Linked DNA regions of Yarrowia lipolytica. The protein of the gene in region 1 interacts with the protein of each later gene in a pairwise test. Links are inferred from orthologs where the notes say so. Each region holds a gene or a part of one and is shown in the gene's direction. Other genes may lie near its edges. The genes, in order: YALI1_E19201g, YALI1_B24292g and YALI1_F02697g.

Region 1 (3,758 bases):
ATCATGCAGACAAACCAGATTCGGCGTTAGCGCTTTTAGTGCACGAGGCTCAGATGGTGGCTTATTAAGCAATGTGCGTCTAGTAAGCGACGTAGCTTATTAAGCAAAGATGCTTACTCAGCGGAGTGACTACTAAGTGACGAGACTTACTAAGCGGCACTGACAAGGGTACTGCAGAATCACATGTGTGGAGAGCAGCACCTGTTTTTGTCTCACGTGACTGATCACATGACCAAACAAAAAAAAAAAACAGAAAAAGCTCCCCGGCACCCTTCAACCATACGAGTTGTGTGCGCGTCCTTCTCCTTAGATGACGTAATTTAAGTGTGACCAGTCACATGACCACCCCCTTCACCGCTTCTTCCTGTATCTCACGTGACTGACTGGCTGGTCACGTGACCCCCACCATCACCCACTGCTCCCCCATCTCTACTGCGTCTTAGATGCATTGATCATGTGTAATGAACTTTAAATAATAAAGGTCGAAATTTCGAGGGGAAAATTGGACAATTTGAAAACTGTTTGAAATAGAATGTCATTATTTTTGCCTTATTCAGCTGACTCTGAATCAGTCTTTGAAATTGTGTTGTCGTCCTTAGTCAGCATTCTGGAGACCCCCCGTTGCACTGTTTGCACTGTTTGGACCATGTATAATTGTAAATAGGGGTCAAAACAAACAATGCGAGGCAGGCTGTCTGTGTGGCAGAGGTAATGAGCGACTGAAATGATTAGTCACAGGACGCGAGAGGGGTGGGAGTTATGTAACTAAAGAATTTACTCACGGGTTTTATATCTATCACGTGACCCTGCTCTCCCGCTCACTGCTAAGCGCTTACTCAACACCGGATCCACCTAGCAACGGGCCCATGTCTCGGTACATAGCGTTCAACGGGGAACCATAATGGTCATAACCATAACACGAGTGTGATTAAGACGAGTTGGATTTCCAGACAGTCAATTGGTCTGCTGGAAAGGGAGTTAGTAAGACGGCGTTACGTAATTGAACATACTCCCTTGATACGATGACTAAGTTGAGTGATCAAGCCCCCATTTGGGCTTTGTCATCAACCTCCTGATTTTTTTTTGATCTTGACACTGTTTGTATTTATACAAAATATAGTTTGGGTCTAAATGTGTTTGTGTAGTTTCAAATTTCAATCACATTTTATTGACGCTGTGTTGGGATTATTATTAATATAAAACTACCATTGTAATTCACTCATTTCATGCTACAAAATGCACTTTTCAGAATCGAAAAATATCCAGTCAATCGTCCCACAGACCCACAGTTTTATTTATAGGGTTAGGGCTTCCCAATACGGCTCGTCCCAAACATAAACAAGCCCGAACCTTATCAGTTCACTAACAAGTATATGTGTAGATGTTTTTGAGATCTTCTTGAGCAGAGTCTGTGGAGTTGTTTGTGCGATAGAAGCGAACGTTTGCACCATTACATTTTTGTGCGTGCCCATCACCTTGTCCTTGTCGTCCCCACCACATTGCCAGTGTCACCACTACATTGCCAGTGTCACCATTACACCATCTAGGTCACCCCAACTACAACACCTTCACCACCTTCATTCCTCCACTCCACACTACGATGAAAAAAGTGGAACCAATCGAGTTCCTCAAGGACCGGGTCTATCTCGGAGCATATGCGCACACCCCCAAGGACACCGAGACGACCGTCTACTTCACGGTCGACGATGCTCTTCCCTACAACCCGTTTCATCTGGATTTCGGGCCTCTGAATGCCGGTCATCTGTACCGATTTGCGGTTGCTCTTCACGAGATTCTGGCGGAGAACGAGGACAAGGCGGTCATGTTCTACTCGTATCCTGATCCCCGATACCGAGCCAATGCCGCCTGTCTTCTGTGTTGTTACATGGTGTTGATCCAGTCGTGGCCTCCTCATTTGGCATTGGCACCGATTGCACAGGCGGAGCCTCCGTTCATGCCGTTCCGCGACGCCGGCTACTCGACTGCTGACTTCATTCTCACCATCCAGGACGTGGTCTACGGGTGCTGGCGGGCCAAGGAAAAGGGCTTTTTGGACCTGCGCCACTTCAATCTCGACGAGTACGAGCAGTATGAAAAAGTGGACCAGGGCGACTTCAACGAGCTGCCTCCTCATTACATTGCGTTTGCGTCACCGCAGCAGGAGGACTTTCTCACCCCGCTGGACCACGCCTTCAACAACGTGCTCGACTACTTTGAGACCCACAACGTGCAGCTGGTGGTGCGTCTCAACTCGATTCTGTACGACGCTCGTCAGTTCGAGCAACGCGGAATCAAGCACGTGGACATGATCTTCGACGATGGCACCGTGCCCACCATGGACATGGTCAAAAAGTTTGTTGGCGCGGCTGAATGCATCATCGAACAGGGCGGCAAGATCGCCGTTCATTGCAAGGCCGGCCTGGGCCGCACGGGGTGTCTGATTGGCGCCCATCTCATCTACTCCTACGGCTTCACCGCCGCCGAATGTATTGCCTACATGCGGTTTCTGCGGCCAGGAATGGTGGTGGGCCCCCAACAACACTGGCTCTACCTCCACCAGAACGAGTTCAGAGACTGGAAACGAACCATGGTCGTCAGCGATACCCCCAGCTACAAGCTGGCCAACCTGCGACCCCTGGTGCCCATTGCCGACCAACAGTGCAAATTGAGACAACAATTGAGCGCTCTCCAGGACCAGATCCGGCGCAAGGAGGAACAATTGGGCTCTCTGGGAGCCTCCGCAGTAACCCATGACTCCATTCTGCCGTCAACCCCCCCGCCAAAAACACCCGAACGATCAATTCTCGGAGACATGGACCATTGCAACTCGATTCTGCCGGCCCCTACTCCCGGACAGCCCCGCAAAAACTCCCCCAGTCCGGCCCATCGATCTGGAAGTGTAGGCATTTCCGCCATCCGTCCCAAACGGTACATTTCCACTTCCCATGACACCGTCTACAACTCGGACGAGGAACGAGAAGGCTCGATCGCCTCGGCGCGACGAGTGGTCAGCAGCAGACAAATGCCGTCGCGTCAGCCGTCGCGGTCCGTGTCTGTGTCAGTCTGCGAGGACGTAGAGGGCTCGCTGATTGTCACGGCCTCTCATTCGCCCTCCCGACGACCCTCGCACCAGCAGCAGCTGCGGTCGCCCTCCAAACAGCTGGACTTCGACCAGGAGAACGACATGAAAAAGTCACCATTGAGGGTTCGGAGCGCATCCCGGCGCCAGGCATCGGTGCGACAAGTCAGTGGCGAGACCGGCGTGAGAAAGGTCTCCAGAACCAAGAGGTCGTAGAGATTTGGCGGTATTTAGATGACTGCATGATTTATCCACTGAGATGACTTGGTCACATGACCCATTCAAATGACCCAATCACATGACCCGATCAGATCACTTTGTCATTAACCCCCCTCTCACCCAGAACAGCTATCGGACACACTAGAATGGCATCCCACGCTAACAGATACCACAGTTATATGCATGGAACAGTATGTATGGATTAATAATGAATCACGTAATGGAATGGTCGTGTAGTGGTACACTAAGAGTGCGATACCTACGAGTACTCGTGTTCTGTGGAAGTGTGGATCTCCATGCCACGAACAACTTTTAGTAGTCATTGTCTCGCTTCTTCGTCTCCCGGACCTCCTTCTCAGCCAGATACTGTGGTTGAATGAGATCAACGCCGAGTCATTCAGATCTTTTCAGATCGTTCTCATGCTGTTCGGCTAAGACCCGGCCTTTGGAGAAGGGCGTG
Region 2 (2,905 bases), on another chromosome or scaffold:
CTTTCCAGACTTGTTTGAGCTCAGACATGTTTTGTGGTGAGAGTATATGTGATTAATAGTGAGGTTTCAAAACTTTGGCTGCATTGGTGGGCTGTAATGGGGTTTCTGAGGGTGCTGTGAGGGGTGTTGACCGTGTCTGATATTGGATGGACGATTTTGAGTTGTATGCATGGTGAAGATTTTGGGTTATTGGTATGGGGAGGAAGTGGGCGAGGTTTGAAGATGTTGCGAAAGCCTGAGAAGAATGAAAATTTGATGACCATGGCTCTGGCGTACCATAAGGATTTAGTGAAGTTTCTAGCCTGTTTGGTAGCTTCAATAGCTCATGGTGAATCTCTTATCATGACGTCTCTATAACTTTGTAGGGAATAAGGTGACAGCCGCCACTGGGTTGATGGGTCTGAGGACAGTAGCACAGCGAGCTTCAACAGACTTACCAGGCAGTTATATGGATGTTTCAGTATACCATTCTGCTAAAAATGAACAGCTGAACATCATTGTATTGTATTTTTTCTCTGTGACTCTATATTTGGTGGAATCCCCTTCTATAAAGCGGATCGGGGGTCTTAAAGAAGTGGCCACATTTGTACTGGTAAGCAGGAGCCTTTATAGCTGTATTGTAACATCTACCTGACTTATGTGCGGCGAGTCAACGTTCTTCCTATCATACTATACAGTACCAGCTCTGAGCCATATGTCTGAAAAATGAAAAACAACCCCGAAAACCTTGAATAAGTCGTCAAGTAATGGGTCCCGATTGTCCAAGTAACCAAGCCACATTTAAAGAAGCTCAGAAGTGCATACGACTGTAGTCAGATCTATTTTGGGATATTTATTAGTAAGCATTAGCAAACCTAAGCCAACATTAATAGGCAGTCTAGAGAAGTTACATCTGATGCCAATGACCATCAGCTTCACCAAACGTCTGTGTTTTGAGGTGCCGCTCGTACGGAACAGGGACACGACTCTCCAACATCTCTCGATAATTTGACTCTTAACCCCAACAGTCACTATCTGCGGCTGAACCCTAAGTGAAATAACGGGGTATAATATAGCACTCTGTGGACGACGTAGACGAGGAACATACGAGGAAACGTGGCGATGGATTCTCCTCATCTTCGTGAATCTTTTAATACCCTAACCTCCCACACACCTCTCCCACAACCTCCTCCTTTTATGAGACCCTCTGACCACTCCTCCCAACGATAGAGTTTGGGTGCATGATAGTGATAAAAAAAACACCCCTTGGCCAGAGTCATCCATCTGCTCAAACAGACACAGAAAGACCCGACATCCAACATGAGCATGGAACCGCGATCGAAAAACCCGTACTCGGTTGCGCGGGTATTTGCGGACGTCAACGCCAAAATGCCCCAGCAGTACTGGGACTACGATAACCTCACGATAACCTGGGGCAACATTGACAACTACGAAATCTACCGCAAAATCGGCCGGGGCAAGTACTCGGAGGCATTTCAGGGCGTTTGTGTGGTCAACAAGCAGCAGTGTGTCATCAAGGTGTTGAAGCCCGTGAAAAAGAAGAAGATTAAGCGAGAAATCAAGATTCTACAGAACGTGGCGGCTGGCCCTAACATTGTGTCTCTTCTGGACGTGGTGCGTGATCCAGTCAACAAAACTCCCTCTCTCATCTTTGAGTACGTGGAGAATGTCGACTTCCGACAGGTGTTCCCCAAGTTCAAGGACTACGACATCCGATACTACATCTACCAGGTGCTGGTGGCCCTGGAGTACTCCCACTCCAAGGGAATCATGCACAGAGACGTTAAGCCCCATAACATCATGTACGACCCTCGACGGGGCAAGGTGCGACTCATCGACTGGGGTCTGGCCGAGTTCTATCACTCGGGCACCTATTATAACGTCCGAGTGGCGTCTCGATGCTACAAGGGCCCCGAGCTGCTATACGACCTGCAACAGTACGACTATTCGCTGGATCTGTGGTCGCTGGGCTGCACTCTGGCCGGCATCATCTTCCGAAAGGACCCCTTTTTCCACGGCTCGTCCAACCAGAACCAGCTGGTGGAGATTGCCAAGGTGCTGGGTACGTCGGACATGTACAAGTGTCTGACCAAGTACGGCCTCAAGCTGCCCGACATTTACAACGACATTCTCGGCACATACCCCCGACAGCCGTGGGAGAAGTTTGTCACCAGTGCCACCCAGGCCATCGCTAACCCCACTGCCATTGACTTTCTGGACAAGATTCTGAGATACGACCATCAGGAGAGACTGACGGCCCGGGAGGCCATGGACCACGAGTACTTTGACCCGGTCAGGGACGACTTGCGAAGTATTAATGCTCAGTAGAGAGGGTAATGGGGAGGAGATCGGACGTGTACACAACACCCAAGTTTAACTGCATTGTATTCTAATGGCATGTATGATATGAGTAATGACAAGAGAATGAGCCCCTACAGTAGTAATCGAGTTAAGATAAGCATAAATAATAATATCTCAGTTGACCTTTCACCATGCTTGTATATACTGTAGATGCTGAGTCACCTCCAAGAAGCTTCGGAGTTACGATATTGTAGCTTTATCCTCGAGTACGAGAGGCACATACACGAGATATCGCGTTCTACGCTATGATCAACTGCTGAAATCTAACAATTTACAGGTATTCAGCAAAATCCCCAGCCCTAATATTCTCAAATTGACTTCCGAGATGTTTTCTTTTTACCTCGCACTGTCTCATCAGTCTGCCTAATCCAAGGCTTATATGGCGTAAGCGAAAGTCTAAGGTGGAAAAAAATAGAGTACAATTGGTGAGAAAAGGAATGTCGAAGGGGAAATATTAATGACAGACTTGGGACTGTCAACATTTGTTGTTTTTGCAGTGTATGTGCTATGTATAGAAGGTCCGTCACTTGAGATCGGATGTGTA
Region 3 (3,758 bases), on another chromosome or scaffold:
TATCGTATTGTACTCATAGCGCAGTTTTGGAACGCGTCTGATTGAAAAAAGTACAATGGGTGCCAAGACCCCTGAATGACAATACGTAATAATAAGGCCAGTGTTCAAATACAGCGATGAAATTGGCGGTACAAATAGGACGAGTTTGACATGTGTTGACGGTGGAGAACGAGCCGTAGGGAGAACATCTGACGAGTAAATTCCTCTTTCTTTTTCCTTCATTCCGTCGATGTCTCTACAAGTGCGGTTCTTCCTTCCACTTGGACCCGTTCACAGATTCACCTCTTCCTCAACTTACTGTACCTACGGAACTCTCCCAACTCTACACGCGTTTACCACCGTGCACTGGGCAATGGTGGCCCGGGCAGAAACAAGCCCGCCAGAATGGAACCATAATTATCTCCCATAATATTCACCTCCGGGTTGCTTCTGGGCTGTCCGTCCGGCTTCACTGTCTTACACCCATCTTCAGAACCGACGAGCCCCCACACCTTCTGTTTTGATGTGTGTGTGTGTGCTCGCTCGGATAGGCTTCTAGGTTTCGCGCTCTGAGGGTGATGGACGCATGCGCCTGTTTGTTTGCCCCCATCAGACCGCTACCCTGGGCCATGCATAGACTTTGGGAGTGACGCACCGCTCCGCACATCATCTCTGGAGACAGACCCGTCCCAATCTCCCCCAACCCAACACCACCATTGTTCGCGTCTCCAAACCCCAGAGGCACCCCCCAAGTGCTCACCTACCGTTCGCGCCACCCACACGACACGTCACACGCAAAGCAGCAGGACCGACCGAGCAACAGGTCTGCGTTTGTGACACGACTGGACCTCCAGAAAAGTTTTGCATTTCTTTGCACACGCTCCTTTTTCTACATTCCTCACCCACAATCGCATCAACTAATTTTTTTTGGGGGAAAAACGCCACCAGACGCGATACACAAGGACGAGACAGACGACACGACAAGAAACAGACGACACAACCTGACCGGAATTACAACTACCGCCAAACTACAACACTCACACCGTGATCGACGCGTCAACACGACATACCCATACTCACATGTACATGAGCTCGGCCACCCCCTCGGCCTCCCCGTCGCCTCGCCGGCGCAAACACCGCCCCGACTCGGTGGCACGCTCCTCCATACCGTCGCTGTCCAAGGTGAAGCTCAAAAAGAGTAAGCCCAACACGCCACAGCTGTCACCGTCGCTGTCGCTTGACGACTCAGCGTCAGACGCCCTTATCAACCTCTCCATCCACCGCAACAACACGGTGGCAAATCTCGACGACCTACCGCCAGACCTCTCGCCGTGCCCCAGTCCCAGCAAGCAGCGCGCCTCGGAGCCCCCCACGGTGTACTCGTCAACCATGCAGCCCCTAAGACGCTCCAAGGGCCTCTACAACCTCGAAGAGGCGTCCAACCTGTCGCTCGAAGATATCAACATGGACAGCAGCCCCAGCAGGAGCCACCGACCGCGCCACTCGATGATACTCCATGATTCTGACCCCAATTCGCCGGTCAAGGCGCCTCCATTCAAAAAGGCCGCCATCCAGCAAGAGAATGTGCCTCCTGGAGGAGGAGGAGAACGACGATTGTCAGATAACCCGCCCACGATCCATCTCATGTCGTCGTCGGTCGAATCATCGCCACCAACACCAACGCATCACCCCCACCACTCGCACCCGCACCCTCATCATCCTCAACCCCATTTGCATCCTCTCGTCAAAACAAAGATAGCTGACGTGGAACACAAGGAGTACGGCACTCCAGACTCGTTCCGGTTCGTCAAACCGCTGCAGACTGCGTTCATGAGCACGGGCTTGCTTTCGAAACGAACGCGCAACCTGCCCAACTCATCTTCTGGCCACTCTCTCGTGCCTCCAGATACGCCCTGCAAGAAACCCAGCGGCAGTTCGAGCTTGCAGGACGTGCACGGACTCAGAGGAGACGGAAACACACCCCGGCCCTTCACCAGCAGTGTCTCCCACGAGGGTGTCAGCATGCTCGGAAGCAGTCACAGGTCTGCGTCCTCCGGTAGAGCTCACAGAGTGCCCCTCACAATCAACACCACCGGCCACCAGAATATCCCCTCAGGCCCTCCAAGCGGGCTGCGTGATTCAGCATCACGCTTTGCATTCGACCTGCGTTCGGCAGTCTCCTCGTTCATGGACGACGTTCCCTCCACGCCTACGAAGCCCCTGGAGGAGAGTGAGTCGTTTCCATCCGTCCAGCGAACTCTCACTACTAACAACCATGATGACAGCAACGGCAGCAGCAGCAATAACAGCAGCACGAATCTGGGACCCTACAGACGAGCGTCTTACATTGGTTCTTTGACATCCTTGTCTTCTCTGGCCAAGGCAAGTCACCAGCGGTCAGATGGGTCGCAGATCACCATTACCCCTGGGACTATCACTCGTCAGGCCTCGTCCATCATGGAACCAGAGACCCCTCTTGGAAATGGAGACAATCCCTTTAACTCGCCCAACTTCTCCAGTGATCCTACCTTTGCAGATCCCCGGACACCGGCCAAACGGTCTTCCCAGGACCAATCTGCTGAGAACATGATTGCTGGCGAGTCGTGGCTTAGTCAAAAGTTTGACAGCGTCTCTCTGATTGGATCTGGCGAGTTTTCATCCGTTTACACGGTCACCGAGCGCGTTAAGATGCCTGCGGGTTCCTCGGTCATCCTCACGCCGCCCAACCGTTACGCTGTGAAGAAGATGAAGTACCCCTTTGCCGGCCCCAAGGCTCGTGCTCGACGAATGGAGGAGGTCGAAGTTCTTCGTAAGCTGACCGAGTCGAAACGTGACGAAGACGGGCGCGATTTCATTGTCCAGCTTGTCGACTCGTGGGAGTACCATGGATTCCTGTTCATCATGACTGAGTACTGCGAAAACGGCAGTCTGGATGTTTTTCTGGCTGAAAACGGCCGAATCGCGCGTCTGGACGACTGGCGAGTGTGGAAGATTCTCGTGGAACTTGCCCTCGGTATCCGGTACATCCACAACGAGGGCTTTATGCATCTGGACATCAAGCCAGCCAACGTGTTCATCACTTTTGAGGGCACTCTCAAGATTGGCGATTTTGGAATGGCAACAACATGGCCAGCAGCTCGGGGAATCGAGCGGGAGGGAGACCGGGAGTACATCGCTCCCGAGGTGCTGAGTCGACAGGAGTACGACAAGCCTGCGGATATCTTTTCGTTTGGTCTGATTATTCTGGAGATTGCTGCCAACGTGGTTTTGCCCGATAACGGCATCCACTGGCAGAAGCTACGGTCTGGCGACTTGACCGATGCTGGTCGGCTCTCTTCTGGCGACCTGGCTGGATTTGATCATCAGTTTGGAGAGCCTACTTCTTCCCAGGGCCAAGAACGAGACGCGATTGAGTGCGGGAGCAAGTCGTACGAGGAGGATGGGGGAGTGCTGAGTCCATCGTGCATGCCTCCGTTTGACCACCACGGTATCCACTCGTCTTCTCTCCGAAGCTGCACCACGGCTAACACCACCTCTTCTAGCGGTGTAAGCACCGGTTCTTCCAGGTCTGGCACTGCTGGAAACGGTGGAGCCAGCACGGGCAACACTTCCAGCTCGACAAACATGCATCCCCCAGTGATTAGGCGAAGCTCTGCGGCCCCCGACTGGGCTCCTTTGTTCCTCACCCAGGATCTCGGTATTCTGGATTCATTGGTGTCTTGGATGCTGACTCCTGATCCTCGAGGCCGTCCCACAGCCGACGACATTCTTGCCACCAG

The links.
Region 2: the proteins of YALI1_E19201g (region 1) and YALI1_B24292g interact in binary tests that used the Saccharomyces cerevisiae proteins (3 or more experiments, as listed by UniProt). The link is inferred for Yarrowia lipolytica from reciprocal best matches to the Saccharomyces cerevisiae genes CDC14 and CKA2.
Region 3: the proteins of YALI1_E19201g (region 1) and YALI1_F02697g interact in binary tests that used the Saccharomyces cerevisiae proteins (3 or more experiments, as listed by UniProt). The link is inferred for Yarrowia lipolytica from reciprocal best matches to the Saccharomyces cerevisiae genes CDC14 and SWE1.

Annotation. Positions count from the first base shown.
Region 1 is NC_090774.1:1,918,545-1,922,302, forward strand, and holds YALI1_E19201g (uncharacterized protein), read left to right. Parts: upstream 1-1,600; coding exon 1,601-3,295; downstream 3,296-3,758. UniProt on the Saccharomyces cerevisiae protein: Protein phosphatase which antagonizes mitotic cyclin-dependent kinase CDC28, the inactivation of which is essential for exit from mitosis. To access its substrates, is released from nucleolar sequestration during mitosis.
Region 2 is NC_090771.1:2,427,954-2,430,858, forward strand, and holds YALI1_B24292g (uncharacterized protein), read left to right. Parts: upstream 1-1,299; coding exon 1,300-2,328; downstream 2,329-2,905. Other genes in the region: YALI1_B24280g (uncharacterized protein), read right to left, coding at 1-28. UniProt on the Saccharomyces cerevisiae protein: Catalytic subunit of a constitutively active serine/threonine-protein kinase complex that phosphorylates a large number of substrates containing acidic residues C-terminal to the phosphorylated serine or threonine.
Region 3 is NC_090775.1:267,029-270,786, reverse strand, and holds the start of YALI1_F02697g (uncharacterized protein), read left to right. Parts: upstream 1-1,059; coding exon 1,060-3,758. Other genes in the region: YALI1_F02701g (uncharacterized protein), read left to right, coding at 558-573, 627-1,027. UniProt on the Saccharomyces cerevisiae protein: Protein kinase that acts as a negative regulator of entry into mitosis (G2 to M transition) by phosphorylating and inhibiting the mitosis-promoting cyclin B-bound CDC28 at 'Tyr-19'.